4 linked regions of the Caenorhabditis elegans genome follow. The protein of the gene in region 2 interacts with the protein of the main gene of each other region in a pairwise test. Each region holds a gene or a part of one and is shown on either strand. Other genes may lie near its edges.

Evidence for each region.
Region 1: the proteins of cdc-48.1 (region 2) and ubxn-5 interact in a two-hybrid assay, tested with the Caenorhabditis elegans proteins (2 studies listed by BioGRID).
Region 3: the proteins of cdc-48.1 (region 2) and ufd-1 interact in a two-hybrid assay, tested with the Caenorhabditis elegans proteins (2 studies listed by BioGRID).
Region 4: the proteins of cdc-48.1 (region 2) and ubxn-2 interact in a two-hybrid assay, tested with the Caenorhabditis elegans proteins (2 studies listed by BioGRID).

Annotation. Positions count from the first base shown.
Region 1 is NC_003280.10:10,233,333-10,236,821, forward strand, and holds ubxn-5 (UBX domain-containing protein 5), read right to left. Parts: upstream 1,167-3,489; 5' UTR 1,135-1,166; coding exon 1,069-1,134; intron 1,029-1,068; coding exon 899-1,028; intron 851-898; coding exon 522-850; 3' UTR 501-521; downstream 1-500. Other genes in the region: pugs-6 (BPTI/Kunitz inhibitor domain-containing protein), read left to right, coding at 1,364-1,483, 1,930-2,176. UniProt on the Caenorhabditis elegans protein: Probably acts as an adapter for ATPase cdc-48.1 and/or cdc-48.2, conferring substrate specificity. Unlike other UBX domain-containing protein does not bind 'Lys-48'-polyubiquitinated chain.
Region 2 is NC_003280.10:10,559,416-10,565,695, forward strand, and holds cdc-48.1 (Transitional endoplasmic reticulum ATPase homolog 1), read right to left. Parts: upstream 3,993-6,280; 5' UTR 3,976-3,992; coding exon 3,778-3,975; intron 3,650-3,777; exon of another isoform or gene 3,537-3,649; intron 3,500-3,536; coding exon 2,672-3,499; intron 2,626-2,671; coding exon 1,553-2,625; intron 1,520-1,552; exon of another isoform or gene 1,302-1,519; intron 1,298-1,301; coding exon 1,103-1,297; intron 1,054-1,102; coding exon 918-1,053; 3' UTR 616-917; downstream 1-615. Other genes in the region: C06A1.6 (uncharacterized protein), read right to left, coding at 4,760-5,152, 5,196-5,261; C06A1.7 (uncharacterized protein), read left to right, coding at 5,497-5,547, 5,594-5,986. UniProt on the Caenorhabditis elegans protein: ATP-dependent chaperone which probably uses the energy provided by ATP hydrolysis to generate mechanical force to unfold substrate proteins, disassemble protein complexes, and disaggregate protein aggregates.
Region 3 is NC_003282.8:12,328,466-12,332,956, forward strand, and holds ufd-1 (Ubiquitin fusion degradation protein 1 homolog), read right to left. Parts: upstream 2,426-4,491; 5' UTR 2,410-2,425; coding exon 2,332-2,409; intron 2,311-2,331; exon of another isoform or gene 2,305-2,310; coding exon of another isoform or gene 2,245-2,304; intron 2,184-2,244; coding exon 2,046-2,183; intron 1,997-2,045; coding exon 1,785-1,996; intron 1,715-1,784; coding exon 1,254-1,714; intron 1,187-1,253; coding exon 1,047-1,186; 3' UTR 943-1,046; downstream 1-942. Other genes in the region: F19B6.3 (FLYWCH-type domain-containing protein), read left to right, coding at 1-46; F19B6.1 (Uridine kinase), read right to left, coding at 3,116-3,250, 3,293-3,641, 4,192-4,491. UniProt on the Caenorhabditis elegans protein: Functions at a post-ubiquitination step in the ubiquitin fusion degradation (UFD) pathway. In association with npl-4.1 and/or npl-4.2 and ATPase cdc-48.1 and/or cdc-48.2, involved in the cytoplasmic elimination of misfolded proteins exported from the ER.
Region 4 is NC_003282.8:2,719,732-2,727,929, reverse strand, and holds ubxn-2 (UBX domain-containing protein 2), read left to right. Parts: upstream 1-2,110; coding exon 2,111-2,121; intron 2,122-2,172; coding exon 2,173-2,283; intron 2,284-2,339; coding exon 2,340-2,487; intron 2,488-2,583; coding exon 2,584-2,690; intron 2,691-4,736; coding exon 4,737-5,031; coding exon of another isoform or gene 5,032-5,100; intron 5,101-6,826; coding exon 6,827-6,915; intron 6,916-7,220; coding exon 7,221-7,365; 3' UTR 7,366-7,617; downstream 7,618-8,198. Other genes in the region: ndua-12 (putative NADH dehydrogenase [ubiquinone] 1 alpha subcomplex subunit 12), read left to right, coding at 8,096-8,196. UniProt on the Caenorhabditis elegans protein: Ubiquitin-binding protein which acts as an adapter for ATPase cdc-48.1 and/or cdc-48.2, conferring substrate specificity.

The sequences.
Region 1 (3,489 bases), 330 kb from region 2:
ACAGAGAAAGATTACCAGTATCTATTCGAAGTTCAGCTTGGATTCTACGTCAAGATTTCCCCTTTGGAATTTCTTACCAAGTTTTGCCAATTTGCCAATTTCTCACCCAAGTTAGCTCACGGCTTACCAAACTTCCTTCATTCTCTAATGCAAATCATCTCACCACACTTTGAACCAACTTTTAGCAAATTTTCAATGAACTTCAACCCAAGAGCTTGGCCAAGTTTAATAAATTTTAATTATTGATCGATATGGAGAACTTTTTTAAAATTCTCGCCCACAACTTGCCAAAGTTTGGTTGAAGTCTGGCTATTTTTGAATTTCTATATGTATCAGGCATACATTAAGTGAAGGTCTTCCGTGATGGGCAGGCGCGGCGTGAGAGCCTACCTGGAACCTACCTGCCTCACGTCACCCAAAGGCATTAAAGGCGCGAGGCAGGTGAAGGTCTCCTTAAGGTCAGCTAGGCATCTTGGCGCCTACATGAAATACCCTGCATTATAGTCAAGATGAGTTTGACTTCATTGAATCAAATTCACGTAGAGGATTGAGTTATTCGGAATAGTTTCTAGACATTTTACTTCATTCGTCTCCTTCGCCACATTATTTGCTCCTTTTTCTGTTTCATCCTTGAATTCTGCATTGAAAATCGTGTGATACCATGCTGGATAGCAATGAATCTCCGCACGAGGATAGACACTTCGAACCGAGAAATAGTCAGGGCACGCCGGATTCAAAATAATAGCATCAAAAAGTGAAGTCATCGGTTGTGATGGGGAGAAGCTCAGAATTAATCGAGAACCATTGGGGTATCGTACTAGAAGACGGAGGGGTCCTTGTGATACAGTTCCTGGAATAGGCCAGCTTGCATTATTTGCAACTATGGGTTCTAAATTACCTTTCAACTTCTCTCTGTAATCCTGAATGGTTTTCTTCCTCAGCTCCTTCTGTTCAGCTTCAAATCTAATTTTATCCTTTTCTTCTTTCTTTGCAATATCCTTGGCAAGACTCTCCGCATATTCTTTGTTCTGAAATTCTAACTTATCACTGTCATAATCCGAATCTAACCTGTTGGCTCAACAGAGCACGATCCTCCGCAAACTTCTCCTTTTGTACGTGATTGTTAGTTGGCATCGTCTAGTGGTAGTTAGTGAAAATGTGGTAATGATTTTTTTGTTGAAAATTTGCTATCAGAATTTGACGTTGCAAAGTCTAAATTTTATTTATTTTTGAATTCACACGTTTTCTTTTCAGGATTTTTTAAAACTAATATATTTTTAAGAGTACTTTCTAACAGTTCAAAAAATTCAAATACTTTCCAATTTCCAATTTCTAATAACAATTCAAAAACTATAATTTTCAGGCTTCACTCATACACATGTATTCTGGGAGAAGGCGGCTTCTGTACATTAGACAAGTTTTGGTTCCCGGATGATAAAGAAGGATGCACGTATCTTCGTCCGTGGTCGCATAAAGTGGCAGAGTGAGTGAAAGTGTGTGTGCGTTGGAAAATAATTATGTCAGTAGTATGTAATTATCAACTTTTGATAGATATTTAAGAATTGAACTTTTACCAAAAAAATGGTTAATCTTTATTCCGAAATTTGTGATTTCCAATGGGATCCGTTTCGTAAAAATCTAGAAATTCTCATTTTGGAGCGAATTCCAAAAAAAAAAAGAAATAAACCAAAATTGGAAAATATAGTTTTTAAAAGGAGAATTCTTCTTCTTTTTCTATCGATGTTTTTTGTGGGTTTTCTGAGTTTCACACCAATTAAAAAAAATTTTAAAGCTTAATCTCCATTATGGCTACACCACCTTTAAAAATAGGGGTTTTCTGCAAAAAATTTCAATGGAATGGGGAAAGTTTTTTTCAAAAACATTTATAAATACACATTACCAAATTTAATAATTATTTAAATTTTCCAGCTGGTCCTTCTACTTTGTCCTCGAGAAGCGCCCCAGAAAGTACGGAAAAGCCTTTCACGAGCGTCAGAAGAAGCTGAAACGTCAGGCTTCAACCCCAAAACGTGAAATGAGCACAAAACCAATTGGACATCTCACTCTCTACGGAGTCGTTGATTGTGATAAAGTATGTGCTGGAAAAGAAGAAAAAAGTCTTGGATCGTATGCTGATGGAACATTCCATAAGGGAAGAGCACATCGCTTGAATTAAATTTGAAAATTTTGGGTGAGAATCTGATTTTTTATTTCTCTTTCTCTGTAACAAATTTTCTCTGTTTAATTCAAAAAAAGATACACTGTCAAAAAGTGTAAAACCCAAATCGATCTTCCACTGCTTCTGTTTGAACATAATTGTCTTTACATTTTCCTTTTATAGTTCCAGTTAACCTTGTCTAGAATCTCTCTCACTCTCGAAAATCTCCTAATCCTTTCTAGTTTTTGAATTTAGTATCTGATGCATGTACGCTCTACTATTGACACATCAATAGAGCGCACTTGCATTTTTTCCATTTTCATAATGCATTTTGGTCTTTTTCCGGTACAATTGATTGTCCTTCAAGGTAGGCATCGTTTCCCATTATTTCCTTCCTAAATTCCCCGGTTTCACACATTGTCTTTTGTATTTTATTTTAATTCTTTTACGAATTATTATACGTTCGTAATTTTTTCTGGAACGTATAATAATAACTATTTTTGAAATAAATCCTTGCCTTTTCATGTCTTTATTGCTCAGTTTTCTTGAAAAAAGAGGAAAATCTTGCTCTCCGTCTCTCCCGTGTTGTTTTTTTGTGCATAAAAAGATTTTTACATGCAAAACTGGATAAAATGAGTTAGTGTGAATAGGGGAAACGCGGCTCTCGGAGCAATTATTTAGTTCTCGAAATGCACTTTTTGTGTACCAAAACATCTTGTTGGTAAAAATATTAAGTAGGGGGTTATTATAGGGACGCAAAAAAATGCGATTTTTGAAGTCGAAATGCAAATGTGCTCCACTGAGAAATTAATTATTTATCGTTGTTTTTATGTCGAAATTATATAAATTCATAAAATTCGACATAAAATCATTAAAAACAACAAAAACATTTAAAATTCGAATTTCCGGATTCTATTCCTAACGAGACCCAACGTCTAGGGGCGGAGAGTGCCATAGAGCGCCCTTGCGCCTCGATTTCAAAAGATCCATAATAACTTTATTGCCAAGAATTTCAAATTTTCGACGAAATTCTCTAGATTTCCGGCTCCGCATGGCACACTTTAACTATGAAAATCTTTCCGGTAAACATGAAACTTTTGTGATTTTAACCATATTATCTCGAAACTAAACAATGGAGAAATATTTGAGTACTTGTCAAAATGCTCATATTGCTGCTCTCCGCCTAACCCTTTGTCTCCGGAGAGCACACGGGGGACATAGACATTGAGCTCTCTTCTTCAAACGTTCCAAACGTTCCATGCATAACTCCTTAGAGTATATACGCAAATGAGCCACGCAGCACGAGCCGAGAAAGAGAGAAGACTGTTTTG
Region 2 (6,280 bases):
GAAATGCGACTTTCAGGCATGAAAAACCAATTTTTCTAGAAAAAAAAAACAAAAGCACTGTAGTGTGAATTTGTTCGTGACGGTGTTTCTTACAAAAATGTGCATATTTGCGGCAAATTTTGTGTTTTCAGATATTTTTAAGAATTTGAAAACTATTGGCACTTATCAGTTACTATCAATATTAATATCTGATCTAAAAGATTCATGTGACAGACAACGAGGACAAGGAATTTTTGAAAATTGGCCAGAAACGAGTTCAACAAGCTTGAAGATAAGCAACTATAGTACTCAATTCGGCATTTTCTTTGTTAAAAACCTCATGACTATGTACGAAATGCGTGCACTCCTATGAGTGTGGAGACAATATCGATGGAAAATGATATCAATGAATGAAAAAGCACTTCTACTTTCCAAAAGATCAAGAACAACTGGATCGCTAAATAGGTTTGATGATTGATATTAAAACCTGGTCCAAAAAATTACGTTAAACTTAGGCAACTTATCTTAAATACAGCTTCCCATTATCAACGGAACAACCAGTCATTGGTCATGAGACAATTCCACCTACACAATCACAAATAATAGTTTGAATATGGCAACACAATCGTACACAATTATGATTACAGACATCGTACATTTATATGTCAAAAACGGCAATACATACAAAACATTGGGAGGGATGCAAAAAAATAAATGGGATATACTTTTTGATCAACTGGGATGTAGGTATCTACAAATTTTTTCTTCTCGCGAAGATCATCCGTAACCATTAATTTCTAAAGCGAAAACATGGGCTCAATTACAATAAATAGTGGTAAATCGGGGGTTGGAAAGGGGTGAAATACGAGGTGAAAAAGTGGGTATGGGAGAAAATAAAACGAGTATCATACATAGACTCAGTAGATAAACTCAATACATTAGTTATAAAGGTCGTCATCATCCTGAGCAGGTACAGGGGCAGATGGGGCATCGCTTCCGCGTTGTTCTCCTGGGAATTTGAAGTTGTTTCCAAAGCCACGAGATTGTTGCAATGTTTGTGCAAACATTTCGTACCTACAAACATATTTTATAGACATACAATAAAACCATTATCAAAACTCACTTTCTGATGTCATTGTCTGTAACAGAGCGTCTGGCAAACTTCATGGCTTCCTCGAAGTGAGCACGAGTAATTTCTGGTACTGGATCAACTGCATCGTCTTCCATGAGCTCCTCACCGCGAGCTTGGCGATCTTGACGTTCCTTCTCAATCCGAATTTCCTTTTCGATCGATTCGCGAATAGCCAGCTTACACGCTCTGAAAATGTCATCGTTCACACCAGGAAAAATAGAATATCGGGGCCTTAGCGCGACTTTAGATACTCTAACTATTATAATTTACTGTGAGACGATTTTTTATATAGCACAAATATGACACTCGCGTAACCATGAACACAAAACTTGGCAGAATCTGAACTGCAAAACGCAGCTAAGAAGAGCCAAGAATGTGTAGATTTCGCAAGTTCTTAAGTTGTGCGTTTTGAACAAATTTTCAAATAATTAAATTACTCACCTCTGACAAATTTCGGTCAAATCGGCTCCAGAGAATCCAACAGTGTTTTTGGCCAAGAAGGTCAAGTCAAGATCCTTGGAGAGTGGGGTTTTACGAAGAGAAGCTTTCAAAATTTGGTGCCGAGAAGCTTCGTCTGGGAGTGGGATGTAGATAAGCTGATCAAGGCGACCTGGACGAAGAACAGCTGGATCAATGATATCAGGTCTGTTTGTAGCTCCGATGATGAACACATTTTTCTTCGCGTTCATTCCATCCATTTCGGTGAGCACTTGATTGATTACACGATCCGATGCACCTCCTCCATCACCGCCGGCGCCTCCACCTCTTGCCTTGGCAATCGAATCCAACTCATCGAAGAACAACACGCAAGGAGCAGCTGCACGAGCCTTGTCGAAGACATCACGGACGTTAGCTTCCGATTCTCCGAACCACATTGTGAGCAATTCTGGACCCTTGATGGAGATGAAATTGGCTTGACACTCGTTGGCAATTGCCTTGGCAAGAAGTGTCTTACCACATCCTGGTGGCCCATAGAACAAAACTCCTCTTGATGGCTGCATTCCAAACTTGAGATATTTTTCTGGGTGTTCCACTGGATACTGAACCAATTCTTGAAGTTCGCGCTTGACGTTTTGAAGACCTCCAATGTCGGACCAAGTTGTATTCGGAGTTTCGACAACAGCCTCGCGGAGAGCGGATGGGGAAGACTTTCCTTGAGCAAAACGGAAGTTTTCCATTGTGACAGCGAGTGAATTAAGAACCTCTGCATCAATTTGGTCATCTTCGAGATCAATGAGCTCCATCTTTTCACGAATCTGTTGAAGAGCGGCTTCCGAGCACAACGATGCCAAATCGGCACCAACGAATCCGTGACATTCATTTGCAATTTGTTCAAGATCAACATCATCCGCGAGCTTCATGTTTTTCGTGTGAATGCGCAGAATCTCAAGCCGGCCGACTGCATCTGGAATTCCGATATCGATTTCACGATCGAATCTTCCGAAGCGACGAAGAGCACCGTCAATCGAGTTTGGACGATTTGTTGCAGCAATGACCACAAGGTTAGAACGACCCTAAAATAATTATTATTATCGAATCATATAAAATTTAAAAGCATACCTTGACTCCATCCATAAGTGTAAGCAATTGAGAAACAATTCTGCGCTCAACTTCTCCATTGGTCTTCTCGCGTTTTGGTGCAATGGCGTCAATTTCGTCAATAAACAGAATAGCTGGTTGATTCTTCTCGCATTCTTCGAAAGCCTTACGAAGATTTGACTCGGATTCTCCAGACATCTTTGACATTACTTCAGGTCCGTTGATAAGGAAGAAGAAAGATCCGGTTTCATTAGCAACAGCACGTGCAATAAGAGTCTTTCCTGTGCCAGGTGGACCGAAGAGAAGAATTCCACGTGGTGGCTTGATACCAATAGCCTTGAAAAGTTGGGGATGTCGAAGTGGCAGTTCAACCATTTCCTTGATCTGAGCCAATTGCTTCCGAACTCCTCCCAAGTCATCATAACCAATATCATTCATGCTCTCTTCTTCTTCTTCTCTCTTGATCGGATCTCCTTCGTAGTGAATCATGGTATCAGGTGACACAATGCAGGCTGGAGCTGGCTCAGTTTCGACAACTTTGAATTCCACAGTTCTCATGGCAGCTTGAACAGTGAATATATCTCCCTTGTGAAGTGGGCGGTAAGCCTCCAGGAAGTATGGCTTGAGGAAAACATCGAACAAGTTTCCAGTGAGTCCTTCGATAGTGTCATCAATAGGGAGCACGTGAATGCGGGTTCCGTAACTGAGATTTGGAGCTGGCGTAATGCTCACGACGTCTCCGAGGCGAATACGAAGATTGTTGCGGACAACACGGTTCATGCGAACTTTCTCGTTTGGACAGGACTCATCAGAGACAATGATGGCGACAGATTCCTTTCGCTTCTTTCCCTGCAAAAATAATCATTAGAATCGAAAAATAAAATTTAATTGTGTGACAACCGTTTAAAAATCGAGATCAGCACCTTTGCGTGGTGTTAGGATTACGAAATACTTTGAAACGATTCGTTACTTGATCTATATCGCACAACTATGACACTCATAAAACCATCAGCAAATAAACAGTACTAGCTTCAAAACAGAACGTTTTTCAGCCTATATTGTAAATCACAGACATTACAAGTTCTTAAATTGTGCGTTTTAATCAAAAATTAAAAAGAAACACATACCTTCAGGATGACAGCATCTCCACGGAAAAGTCCCAGTTCGTCCATTTTAGCTTGGGAAACTGCGATGACGGAATTATCATCCTGCTCGGACTGATCGACGATCAAGCGATTCGGCTTTACCTTGTCCTTGAGAATAGCTGTCGACAGCTCATCATTTTTCTTCTCTTTTTCGCTTTGATGCGTTGGAACCGAGGCCATTATGTACAATTTAAGACCTAAAATAAGAAGAATGAGTGTCCAAAATGATAGTGGGAACGAAACTATAAAAGAAAATTGAGATTTTAAAAAAGTTCACGAAATTATTTCTAAAAACGACACAGATTTGAAAATTGTCATCATCCACGCATATAGAAGCGTGTTTTCAACAAGTGTACGCAAAAAGTGTTTGGTGATTCTGACGTTAGGGCGCGGTTGCTTTATAATTTTAGCGCGAAGTTTGAAAAGGATTTTCACTGTTCAAAAAATTTTAAAATTTCTAAATAACGAGACGTATTTGTAAATATTTGCGATGAAAAGCGTTGAAACTTCAAAAAAGTTCTTTGAAAACGGAAACGCAGTTTACAATTTTTTGAAATTTTTCGGAAAAAAGGAACTAGTAAATAAAATCTACCGTTTGCACGTTTGCGGTAATGTATGTAGCTGGGTCCAGGATGAAAATATGAAAAGGAAAAAAAGTGGACTGTAATGTAATGCTGGTTTGGAAAAATAACTGTTATTTGCAATAACGCACATCAGCGTTTGGGTCTCGAAACGATATGCCGTTAGTAAATGCAGCACTTTGTAGATCGATAAAAATGATTTGCAGCATCACCCGATCGATAGACGGAGAACGAAGAGATGTGAAACGAGACGAGAGGAGAATAGTCTTAAGATTTTGATTCTTGATAGTTTCCCAGATCTATGAATTTAATAAGTTGAATAATTTCCAAATTATTTATTCCCGATCGAGAATTAGAATAAATTAAACAAATAGATTAATGGATTAACATTTGCCATTGGATGGTCTTCTTTTGATTCCAAGAGCACGATTAGCTTCATCAATTTGAAGTTTTTGAAGGGAACGACGTTTACGACCTCCACCTCCACATCCACAGCATCCGCATCCGCAACCACATCCACAACAGCATGGTCTACAGCAGGTACAACATCTAGTACAGCAACAAGTTCTACAACAAGTACAACAACATTTGGGTCTACAACAGCAGCAGCATCTTGGTCTGCAACAGCAACATCCACATCCACCACCACCTCCTCCACATCCACAACATCCACAACATCCTCCATTTCTTTTAACACGAGAAGATCCGATAATTGATGTTTCAGATGAAATTATAGATATTTCTGTTGTTGATACTGGCAAAACTCCTGATTCAACCTATAAGTTTCTTAAATACGAGAACTAAATCTATTAATCTAACCTGTGAAATCGATACAATTGTATAAATCAGTACAACTAATGTAGATCCAATTATGAATTTGGTCATTTTGATCGAATAGAAACTGATGAATATCTCAATTTTATGGTGCTTTTATATAACTTTTCCATGATCCAAAGTGTCTTAGTTTTTGTGTTCAATTTCCATGACGCGGCTCGCGCGGAGAGATCACAAAAAATGGTTTCCGGCAAAAGTGTCAAATGAGAGACGACAAACACGTAAGAAGAAGAGGGTATTTAATGGATGGAAATTCGAAAACCATATCGAACGCTAATAATCTGAAATGAATAAGATCGTACTTCTGACTCTCTTTGCCCTTATTGCTATTTCACAGGTATCGGTAAAGGTTCTAAATGTTAGAAAACACAATACTATTATAGGTTGAATCAGGAGTTTTGCCAGTATCAACAACAGAAATATCTATAATTTCATCTGAAACATCAATTATCGGATCTTCTCGTGTTAAAAGAAATGGAGGATGTTGTGGATGTTGTGGATGTGGAGGAGGTGGTGGTGGATGTGGATGTTGCTGCTGCAGACCAAGATGCTGCTGCTGTTGTAGACCCAAATGTTGTTGTACTTGTTGTAGAACTTGTTGCTGTACTAGATGTTGTACCTGCTGTAGACCATGCTGTTGTGGATGTGGTTGCGGATGCGGATGCTGTGGATGTGGAGGTGGAGGCCGTAAGCGTCGTTCCCTTCAAAAGCTTCAAATTGATGAAGCTAATCGTGCTCTTGGAATCAGAAGAAGGTCATCCAATGGCAAATGTTGAACCTTAATCTATTTTCTTAATTAATTAAATTTAATTTAATAAACAAGAAGGTTAAAATAAAGCATTCTTATGTACCCTGCAGAAAAACCGTCCTCTTTCAACTTAAATTATTTATTCTGTTGTATTTAAATTTTTGCATTTAATAATTTTGAGATAATCTTGAGACCGAATGCAAAACGGAAGAAAAACAAGAGATAGACAGGGAGTGTCACAATTTCAACTCGTTCCATTTTACGTCAGTACTGACGAGCATCCGTTTCAAAGTTTTGCACCAAGAGAAAACAACAAGAGGAA
Region 3 (4,491 bases), on a different chromosome or scaffold from region 2:
CAGAAGAGTTGATTTTGATCATAGTTATGGCTACTCATTTGGATAATAAAAGCAAGGAGCCGTCAATGCAAGCAATCGATCTTATCTACGATGAAGATCACATGTTCGCAGCACTCCACGACGACGCTGCCGTTTCCAAAGTTGGAGAAGTAAGTTTTCTCGTTATTGAAAGTTGGATTATTTTGCTTTTTCAGGTATGCTCAAGAAATGCGAAAGCATTCATGCTTCGTAAGTGGAAGGAGCTCAAACCTCCTGGAGTGAGAACTCCGACAAAGAACTGATCCACCTCTTCAATCTTCAACATCCAGCCATTGTAGGCAATTATGGTATTTTATGTTTGTATCCCAACTCGTATAATTTGTTTCTCCGTTCTCTCGATTTGCTTCAGCTATCCTACTTTCTTTTTTTTTGTATTTTATTCGATTCTTTCGCCGTATCAATAAATTAGTATTTATTTTAATGATTTTTTGGTGTTGTAGATGTAATTTTTGTATTGAGACTTGACTTTTTCCTGCAGAATCTTGACTATTTTCGAGTGATCTTTTGTGAAGCTATCGACTATTTGGACCTTTTTCTGCAAAAAATAGAGTTGGCTTTCAAAACAGCATTTTCTCCAGGTTTTTTCATTCATAGAAGTTTGGATAAGAAACCACTCCACCCATCACTGACATCGCTGAAGGTTCATCAGCTTCATGGCCGAGCTCCTTGAATATTGAATTTTTCGATTCAACAAAAAAATTTCAATTGAAAAAGTCCATTTGTGTGTTTTCGGAAGCACAGACGCTAGCCAGAATTTATGATCTAAACAAGTTCTGCAATTTTTTAAACCTTACAAGGCATTTTTGTAACAAGTGAATAGTTCTATAATATTAGTTATTTCATTTTTTTCTCCGGAGATCTCCTTCAATTTCATCTCTGAATCACACTTATCAAAGAATAATATATTCAAATAAATTTATCCTGTACAAAAAAGTGGCGATGAACTTTTACAAGGTTATGTGAAGTGAAAGATGTTATTCATAGCACAATTGGCCAGATTCGAGACATTAACGGGCTCCTCTCAGTGTTCGATTGCCTCCACGGAAGACATTTGACGGTTGTCCTGCCTTGCTGGCTTCTTTCTCTCGGAGCTCTTTTTCGAGAACATCAACACGTTTATAATCATAACGAAGGAATGAAACACGACCTGAAAATCATAAAATTTAACTTTTCAATTATTTTGAAATGTTTATTTCAGATGAAACAAGTATTACCTGGTTTGTAGTCTTCATTGACAACCACTGGTGGAATAGCTGGCAAATCATTCGCCACTGGAGCTGCATTACTCGTACTAACACCGGTTCCATCTGAGAGTGATACTGAAGATGATGGCTTCTTCTTTCCATCGAGACGACGCCCAGCTCCTCCGAATACAGAAGTTGCATTTTGTCCTGTCCCTCCACTACCACCAGCTTTTTGTCCAGCTCCAATAAATGCGGATGCATCTGGCGCAGGCGGCTTGGCAGTGACAGCAGGAGTCACCTGTCTCGGTTGTTCAACGTAGCCTTCTGGAGGATCGAAATCGAGATTAACATCACATTCAATGATGCACACAGAGTTGGCCGGTTTCAAATCAACGACGAGGAATTCGAGAGTTTGTCCAGCATATGATGTTGGGATCCGATCGTTTTTGGTGAGGCATGCATATTTTCGAAGTTCCACTTCAAGAACAGCTCTGAAAAATAGAAAAATATAGGACTTTGTTCAAAAACTTCAAAAAATTATTAGAGTTTATGAAAACTCACTTTGGATTAGTAATATTCAGAAACTCGAGTGACATCGGCTTCAATTTAGCAAACGTGGCTTTCGGAAGAGTTGCAGACTCAATGCGAATGGTATCTCCATCGTCAAGTCCCAATTGCTGCATCATCCAAAGTGGCAGAATGGCTTGTCCTTCTGGAGCAGAAAATTCAAGAACACCGCAATGAGTTACACGTTGAACAGCCATATTGGTTAGCTGTAAATTTTAATGGTTTTCTAGTTACTTCAAGCTATACAAAACAAACCTTGAAAAGCATTGGCATCGGAATATTATATTGCATGAGCAAGTTGAGAGCAGATGACGGCAGAAGAATCTTTCCACCATAATTGATTTCGCTTATTTTTGACTGTGTTGCATTGGGAAGGAATACGGGCCCATATACCTGAAATTTAATTGTTTATTAACGCTGAAATATAATCTTTGAAATCCAATTTATTATTTACAATGAGATCGAAATGACGAGTAGTTCGGCGAAGTTGTTGTTGAAAAAAGTTTGCAAACATCTTTCGAAATGAATTTTAAAAGCTCACCACAAAAGTTTGATCATAATTCCCGACTCGGCCGCCCATCTGCATCCCGTGAAGTCCTTGTTGTATCCACGCTTGCATTTTTATTTTTGGTTTTCTGAAAAGTTATTAACGTTTTCTTCAACTATAATTCAAAAAATACAAAGAGGATGAGCCAACCAAGAAAAGAGAGCTCATTGATCATTTAAATATTTAACAAACTGCAATTTATTATAGAAAGAAATTACTAAAATGCACGTGTGAAGGAAACTTGACAAAAATTGAAGAAAAACACAATGAACAACATGAAAAAGAGAATGCGTGAATGGATGATGATATTAAAACCGATTCCTGCAACGACAAACGCGCTCCGTTGAACAAAAAAGAAATGGAACAACGAGAAAACCGAATGTCGTGTACAGATTTTTGTGTGGAAACGCGCAAAGATGTAGAGGGAAGAATTTAACCGTCACAAACAACGCGAAAAAACACTAGAAAGAACAGGGTATAAATGAATTATCGAGCTGAATGCCAGAAATCATGAAGAGAAGTCAATAAAATGAAGAACGGAAAAAAAGGACGACAAAAAATGAAATAGCATATAAAATTTCAACAACAAATGGAAACAAAATGTATAGAAGGATGGATATGATGATGGGAAAGAAAGAACATTATGAATAATTATAATTATAATAATAAAGTTAGTGAAAAGGAACAAGAAAGTAGGAATTCATCAGATGAAATGGAAGGAAAACAGAAACTTTGATAAATTATGAAGAAAATTGATCATTTTTGTGATAACAGATGATCACATATCGAATGGCTCGTCCATGTCTTGTTCGAGCCCGGTTCCGTAATATCGATCACCAAAATTGCCCATTCCGGGAATCAGATAGCAATTTTCCGTCATTTGGTGGTCCATTGCGGTGGTGATTAATTTAACCTGAAAATTAATAATTTTTAATTCAAATAAAAAATTGTAAACCTTCGGGAAGGCATAAGCCAGTGCATGTGCACCTTGTTGACCCATAAGCAGAGATGCAACAAATATGTCTTCCTCTTTAACATCATGATCAAGAAGTACACGAATTGCCATCATCGCAGCACTCCCAGTAGTTACGGTGGCGTCCATAATGATAACTTTGTATCGAGTTATGTGTGGTGGCAAACGTATATAATGAAGTTCTGGATCAAACGTCGTCTCGTTGGTTTGAATCAAAATTTTTCCGATCACGCAGTCCTTGACGATTGAGCGAAGAGCAGTCTCCATACATTCGCCGGCTCGCATGATTGGAAGACCACAAATCTGAGCGTCCTTTCGTTTGCCAATAGTTCTGAAATAAAAATTAAAGTTTCTAGATGGTTGAGCCTATTTTAGACGTTTTCAATTGTTTAGTTTTCAAGTTTTATTTAGAAAAAGTTTATTCTTATATTGGAAACAATAGAACATTAATATCCGAATATCCGAAACCAAGATCTGAAACTTTGCAATTCTTAAGCCGAAAATACGGTAGCCGGTCTCGATTCGACAGATTTTTTGCTGAAAGAGCGCCTTTAAAGATTACTGTAATTTTAAATTACTGCAGAATTTTTATTGATTCTTTGTAGTTTTTCTATAAAAATTATTTCTGTATTAAAAAACTTGATTGAAACCATAAACAAAACTTAAAATAAAACAAAAAATCCGCAGTGATAAGAAATTGAAACTACAGTACTATTTCAAGGCGCACACTTTTGTTTAACAAACATTTGTCGTGTCGAGACCGGGTACCGTATTTTTGCAGTCAGATTCAGAAATTTCAGAAAGGTTGGCGCTGATTTCAGATTTCAAAAAGGAATTTTCAAATCTTGCAGTGACCATTTTTCAGTTTCAAATTTACTCACTTTCTACCGCCGGCCATCTCAATCTCAACATCTTTGTAAGGCATATGATTCATGCATTCTTCAATAAGAATACGCATTAATCGATCAGAATAGAAAATATGATTGTCTCTACTCGTTTCTCGATCACGAACAAACGTGACAAGACCTTTGACCTGTGGAGTTTCTTTTAAAATGAACAGGTTTTCCGGCAAACAATCCGGTAGATCGTCGCGAACCAAATCGTGACGATCACGGTTGTTCTGATTGCGATCGTATCCGCGTTCAACGAGCTGTGCCATCACGTTCTGCACGATCATGTCG
Region 4 (8,198 bases), on a different chromosome or scaffold from region 2:
TTAGAGATTCGAAAACAATAATGCTTCGTGTTTTTGTGAGATGTCTCCTGGGGGAAGTTTCTTGGAACATTTGGTGATTCGAGAATTTTGAAATTACAGTAAAATAAAAGATTATTACATCGTGGTTGATTATATACGTTCTCACGTTGTCAAATCAATCGTTATGCAACAAAATAGTTATGAATTTTGAGCCGAGACTCATTCCCCCTAAATACCATTCAATTGTATCTAACAATTTTACATTCTAAATTTCTTCCGATTTGAATAAATATGTTTAACATCTATTCCGTTTTGTTTTATGAAGATTGTAGTAGACAAGTAGTAGAAAACTCTAATTCACAATCACCTGATTTTTATAGAGGGATAGAGGACAACAGAGCAAGCGGGAAAGATGTAGGTCACAATAGGAAACAACTTCCATGGTAGGCAAGCGCGTTTTCAGGGACCTGCCCGCCAGCCTTCCTGCTCATTGTTTGCATTTTTACGTGAATTTACAAATTTATTATATAATTTTCTCATTTCTATAAATTTGATAAATATCAAATCACTAGTTAGCATAAGAAGCGGGTTGTGGCGAGAGGCAGGCGGAGGTTGGAACTTTATACAGACGTGACCTTTCGGTCATCATGAACTTATCGCGTAAGCGACCTCTCTTTATAATTCATTACTTCTTACACTCTCTTGTAATAAACTTCTTCTCTCCTTGTCACTCGCTCAATACACAACAATAATTTTTTACTTGGAAATTGTTTTAGCATCTGCAAAAAGTATTTATTTATCAGTTTTAATAAGAAAAAACGGGAAAAAGCTGTGAAAAACGAAAGAAAACAGGCGGAAAACAAAGCAAGATAAATGGCCGCTGAAACTTGTCGGCCCCTCGGCCATGGCCTAGAAACCACTTTTCCTCGTCCCTCGTAAGGAAAAAGTTGCAGTGAAGGATCCCGTGGTTTCCCGAGCAATTTGAAATTGTCAAATTAAGTTCAAAAACCAAATGATGGTTTGAAACTACAGGAATAAATCGGTATCCTGTGTCACGTAGCCTACTTGACTTGGAGTAGGATGGCTCTAAAGTTTCGGAACATTTGCGGAAACTTGGGTTGATCATGATGTGTGTAAAGGAATGAAGCTACCGTATAATACCTGCATGCAAGAATAATTTTGATTAGTCCATTTGCAGATTTTTAAAACTTGTCGTTCAAAACAACGACTCACAGCCTCCTCACGTGGAAATGACCCAACAACAGGGGGCTTGCGCGTTTCTCGTGAGCGTGGGAAAATTTTGCCGTTGAAAAGTAATTTCCTTCAGTTTTCATGGGTTTGAAATCGATTTCAAACTTTTTAATTACGTATCAATTGTAAAGCTACTTGAGGGTAAGGTGAAGGAAAAAAAAGATTTTTGATTTTTGTTCAAAAATAAAAGCGATGATATAAAAAGAAAAAAACATCTAAAAATTGAGTTTTTCTCATATTTCGTATATTTATCATCATTTTTCTAGTGGAAATTGATGTATATTTGAAAAGTAATCTTCCACCAAAGCTTATGTTATAAAAAATATGAAGAAAAACAGTAAATTGAACGTTTTCGGTAATTTCTCAATTTTCCACGCGATGCACGAGAAGTGCGCCAATGGACCGACTTTAAATTTTTTTTTCTCATAGTCAGTGGGATTTTTTTTCAATCTGATGGTTTCTTGATGCTTTTGAGTAAAATTTTGAATATTAAAAATAAAGACATTTCAAATATATTATCAAAATCCACTTTTAGACGTGATTTCTCAGAAAAATTAGAATTTTTCCTCGATTTCAGGTAAAATTTCAGTTCACAATTGTTTTTTAAGTTTTTCCCCAAAGAAACTGTTGATTTATTATCAATTCGCAGAATTTGGACGCTGCTGGAAACGTGCCCCCGACAAGAATTGCGTCAACAGCGGCTGCTGACGCACTTCCCGCACGCGCTGGCGCGTTTCTCGGCGCGTTTTATCATTATTATTTTGTTTCCTATTTCCATCGGTTTTTCGTCGTTCTTTTTTTGTTTTTCACTCATTTTTTCTCAAATTTAATATTTTTACAGTGAAAACCTTCAATTTTCCACCACAAAACCCCGGAAAAAATGAGCAGAAAGTGAGTGTCGCCCGCGATTTTCAACCTCAAAAATCGATAAATTACTTGCAGTATTCGCACGTTTCGTGACATTGGAAACAACGACGATGGGGGGCCGGACAGCGACGATTCAGGAGCCGATGCCGCCGAGAGAGGAGCCCCACAGGAATTTTACGCTGGAAGGTAGCCGCAATTCCTAGATTTTTTAATTAAAATTTTTTAAAACTTGGATTTTTCAGCGGACAAGCAGTTCAAGGACCACGTGGAGCTGCTGCTCGAGGCCCGGATAGTGAAGCCCACATTCGGAGAATCCTTCAGGCCGCCGAAGTGGTTCAGCCAGAGGGAGGAGAAGCTCCAAGAGGACGCCCGTCAGGGAGAGAAACTATTGTAAGCCGCGGTGGGCTGCTGAAATAGCTGAAAATCATTGATTTCTGCTCATTTTTTGCGCGGCGAATTTGCTTTAAAATCGATATTTTTTTGCAGAGCCTAACGCTTCACCTGTGGTCCGACGGCTTATCGATCGAAGACGGCCCGTTAATGTCTCGCCAGGACCCCAGAACTATTGAATTCTTGGAAAGCGTCGGAAAAGGGTACGGAATGACGGAAAATGGAGGATTTCTTGAAGAAAATCGAGAGAAAATTGGATTTTTTTGACGAGAAAATCAAGATTTTCGATCCAATTTTCACTGAAAATACAAAATACAAGATTTTTTCTTAACACATAAAAATCAGTTTTTTGGCAGGAAAATCATGATTTTATCGTTGAAAATGCAAAATTCTACTTAAAATTGGGACTTTTAAGCTGTTTTCATGTAGAATTTAGTCCAAAATTTGAGTTTTTCAAAGTTTTTTCATAGTAATCCTATTTTCAGCAAACTTTACCTGGAAATTGTCCAGTTTTCGCCAAAAAAAAAATCGATTTTCCCACGATTTTTATTGATTTTAACAAATAAAATATGTGAAAAATCTTCATTTTAAACTAATTTTCACTTAAAAAATGAGAAAATCTCGATTTTTTGGCCGAAAATTTAAAAATTTGATGCTAAAAATGCAATATTTCAGCTGAAAATTGCATTTTTTAAGTTATTTTTGGGCATTATTAGCTTAAAATTGATGTTTTTCACTGTTTTAAGCTGATTTTCAGCGATTTTCTCTTGAAAATTGTTCACATTTCGATTTTTTCCACTATTCTCCTCAGTTTTTAGCAGAAAAATCGACTTTTCTTCGAATTTGCTGATTTTAAAATCAAATTTCGTTTAAAAAAACTTTTATGAATTTTCACATAAAAATGATGAAAATTCTCCAATTTCTGTCGGAAGAATTCCTGAAAATGGAATTTTTATCTTTTTTTTTCAAAAAATTCAAAATTTTGCCAAAAAATCGATTTTTCTACAAATTAGTCGCTTTTAACAGCAATTTTCGTTGAAAAAAACTCAATTTTTATAACTTTTAGCATAGAAAATGTTGAAAATGGCTTAAAAATGTTCGAACTTCTTCAAGAAAAGTGCCAAAAAATTCATTTTTTTTCACATTAAAAAATTTTTTACAGAAAACCATGAAATTTCCAATTTTTCTCCAAAAATCTCCGATATTTCTCCCTGCAAATTTGAAAATTCCCCAAAAATAATTTTTGTGAAATGCCAATTTTCAGCCAAAAATTGATTTTCTAGCGATTTAGCCGTTTTAATATCAATTTTTACACATAAAAATCGGTTTTTTGGCAGGAAAATCATGATTTTATCGTTGAAAATGCAAAATTCTACTTAAAATTGGGACTTTTAAGCTGTTTTCATGTAGAATTTAGTCCAAAATTTGAGTTTTTCATATAGTTTTAATTTTATTTTCAGCAAACGCCAAAAAAATTTTGATTTTGCAACGATTTTTGGCGGCGATTTTAATATCAACATTTGTGCAAAAATGCCAATTTTAATCAATTTTCACATAAAAATTGAGAAAATCTCGGTTTTTTGCCTGAAAATTTAGCATTTTATCGCAAAAAACGCATTGTTTCAGTTGTAAATTGTTAAGAAACCGAGGAAACCTATATTTTAATCAGTTTTTTAGCAAAAAAATCGATTTTTCTACGAATTAGCTGATTTAAATGACAATTTTCGTTGGAAAAACTCAATTTTTATGAATTTTCACATAAAAATGATGAAAATTCTCCAATTTCTGTCGGAAAAATTCCAGAAAAGGCATTTTTATCCACTAAAAAAAATTCAAAATTTTCCAATATTTTCCTCAGTTTTTAGCAAAAAAATCGATTTTCCTACAAATTTGCAGATTTTAAAATCAAATTTCGTTGGAAAAACTCAATTTTGATGAATTTTCACGAAAAAATGTTGAAATTGGCTCAAAATTCTCCAATTTCTTCGAGAAAAATCCCAAAAAAAATGGAACTTTTTTTCCATTTTTTCAAAAAACTCAAATTTTTCCAATATTTTCCTCAGTTTTTAGCAAAAAAATCGATTTTTCTACAAATTAACCGATTTTAAAATCAAATTTCGTTGAAAAAAAACTCAATTGTGATGAATTTTCACGAAAAAAAAATTGAAAATTCTCCAATTTTTACCGAAAAAAGTGCCAAAAAATCCATTTTTCACTAATTTTTCTATTTTTTTTTTGTTTTTTTTCAGTGAAATCCCTCCATCACTTGTTCAACAATATCCGGGAAAAGAAATCGATTTCAAAGTGAACCGCCACCACGAGGAGTACGTTGCTCCGAAGATGAAGCCATTCGGCGGTAGTGGAGTCCGTTTGGGAAATGTTGTCCCAACAGTTTTGGGACAATCATCGTCGTCTGCCACCACTGCTGGGACATCATCTGCAACAACTGATCATAACCCGGATCATACTGCTGAAAATGAGGCAAAACAGCTGGAAGATGCTAAGAAGGAGCTGAGCACCAATATGAATGAGCCAACGACTAATGTACGGAGTTTGTACTACGGTTTTGGAGCAGCGAAAATTTTTGGAAATTTGGAGGAAAACTGCGGCTAAAATTGGCAGTTCTAAAAGAAAAATGGACGAAAAAATTCAGTAGAAATAGGCTAAAATCAACTGCAATTAGTAATTCAGTCCCCCCACAAAACTGACCTGAAAATGCAATAAATTAGAAGAAAAACGGTCGAAAATTACCTGAAAATCATAAAAATCGAAAAAAAAAATCGGTGGCCGAACTTTTCGATTTTCTAGGCCATCAGGTGAAAAGTTAGACCCCCCCACAAAACTGACCTGACCTATCACGCAGAATGTCAAAACAAAATTGGGGGACTAATTTTTCACTTGGTGGCCTAGAAATCCAAAAGTTCGGCCACCGATTTTTCATTTAATTTTTATGTTTTTCCGGTCATTATTGATAGTTTATCTTCGCATTTTCAGCCATTTTTCCACCTGAAAACTTACAAATAACGCTTCTTAAGCACCGCTTTGACACCTCCAATCTCCTTGACCATTTGGCCAAACTTTTGGATTTTATCGATTCCCAGCCACGCTTTCAGGGACATCTGTAATGTAAATTTGGTTGGAAAAATGGGATTTTTTTTCAGTAAAAAATATGAAATTTTAACGGAATGTGGGGGAAAAAAATTTGACCAAAAAACATTTTTTTCGCCATTTTTTGGCGAAAAACTCCATATTTCCTGTGAAATATGATATTTTTCGAGTTTTTCACTGAAAAATCTTGAATTGCTCGGAAAAAATCGGAAAAATCGATTTTTCAGTGGAAAATGTACGGAGTTTGTACGGTTTTGGAGCGAAAATTTGTGAAATTTGGAGGAAAACCGGCTAAAATTGGCAGTTTTAAAAAGAAAAATCAAAGAAAAAATTCAGTAGAATTAGGCTAAAATCAACTGCAAACTTTTGAAAATTAAATTTTAAATATATGTTATCAATTATACACTAGAAAAAACATCCCAGAATCAGTTTATTTCTGAAAAATTTCAAATCGGATAAAATAAGCTTCAAAAACACTCTAAAATTAAATGATTCTGATAATAAAATATTCAAAAATTCGCTTAAATTGGGAAAAAAAATCGGTGGCCGAACTTTCGGATTTCTAGACCATCAAGTGAAAAGTTAGTCCAGCCCATTTGAAAATAGCTAGACACAATTCAAAATGGCAAGAAGACGTTTGTGGAGGACTAACATCTCAGTTGGTGGCCTAGAAATTCAAAAGTTCGGCCATCGACTTTTAAAATTTTATTTTCTTCCAATTTTTCACAAAAATGTGCTGAATTACTAATTATTCGATGGGAAACCCGAAAAAAATCGGTGGCCTAACTGTTTTAAAAAGTCGGCCACCAATTTTTTTCGCGCAAATTTGACCGTTTTTTCGTCAATTTTCCAAATAAAAAATTGCTGGCCTAGAAACCCAAACCTCGGCCACCTATTTTTCACCTAAAAACCGTACCTAAACACACCATCAGGACGCTTTTCTGCTCTCCGACGCTCATTTTCTGGGAAAAAATCAGATTTTTTTCCTGAAAAAAACGTGAAAAATCAATAAAAATATCACAAAAAGGTCGTAAAATCCTTCAAAAAATCAATAAAAATTGGCAAAAAAAAATCGATAAAAATCTACAAAATTCATATGATTTTAAACACAAAAAAAACGGAGAAAAATCTACTTTTTCGAAAAAAAAAAATTTCAGGCTCTAATTATAGATTTTCAGTCGAATTGTGGCTTCTTTCCTGATATTTTGATTAATTTTAACAAAATTTTCAGATCCAAATCCGTCTGCCAAACAATCAGCGTCTCGTCGGTATTTTTAATCATTCTCACACACTTGAAGCAGTTCGTACATTCATTTGCACGTGAGTTTTCAGCCGGAAAAAGCTATTAAAAACTCTCATTTTTCACTAGAAAAAGTAGATTTTTAGAAAATTTCGAATTAAAAAAATAAAAAAATCATCTAAAAATCACATTTTTAGCCTGAAAAATTCGAAATTTTCCAATGAATAATTATTTTTTAATAATATTTTTCTGATATACACAGTGATAGAAAAATTACATTTTTCAAATTAAAAAATTACATTTTTCAAATTAAAAAATTACATTTTTCTAGTTTTTTCTTTCAAAAAACTCAAATTTTTTTAATTTAAAAATTTTGATTTTCCAGCGCCCGCCCAGATATGATCTACGCTCCATTCCAAATGATGGCTGCCTACCCTCCAAAACCATTTGAAGACGAATCACAGACTCTGAAGGATGCAAATGTGCTCAATTCGGTCGTCGCCGTGAAAATCTTGCCCACCACCAACTGAGGAGATTCCTGACGCTGCTTTTTTGGCGGGAAAATTGAAAATTGAAAATTTCATCTGAAAAAATTTCGAATTTCTACTCGTTTTTACCCCCCAAAACCTCTCAAATTCCCTGAAAATACCTGTATTTTACGCTAAATTATTTGATTTTTTCCCCCCATTTCCCAATATCGTTTTTTTTCTTTCTTCTATCACACTTTAATGCATAAAAAAAGTACACCGTTTTCTGTGAAAAATTGCGGCGATTTTTATTGATTTTTTGTTTTGGAATTTGCGAGTTTTTCAAGCTCTGAAATATTTTTTTTATTTTTTCCAGATTTTCAGAATTTTTCAATTTTTAGTGAAAAATGCACATTTTTTACAAATTTTCCATTAAAAATTCAATTTTAAAGTCAAATTTTGAATTTTTCAGATTTTTTCCCAATTTTTCAGAGAGAAAAATCCTTCTTCTGCGATTTTTTGGTGAAAAATTTAAAGTTTTCAAAAAATGTAAAAATTCACTTTTTTTGTTCCAATTTTCCACTGAAAAATCGATTTTTCCCTGATTTTTTTCAAAAAATTCAAGATTTTTCAGTGAAAAACTCGAAAAATATCATATTTCACAGGAAATATGGAGTTTTTCGCCAAAAAATTTATAAAAAATTTTTTTTTGAAAAAATTCACAAAATGCTTGGTTTTTCCTCCCCACATTCCGTTAAAATTTCCCATTTTTCCAACCAAATTTACATTACAGATGTCCCTGAAAGCGTGGCTGGGAATCGATAAAATCCAAAAGTTTGGCCAAATGGTCAAGGAGATTGGAGGTGTCAAAGCGGTGCTTAAGAAGCGTTATTTGT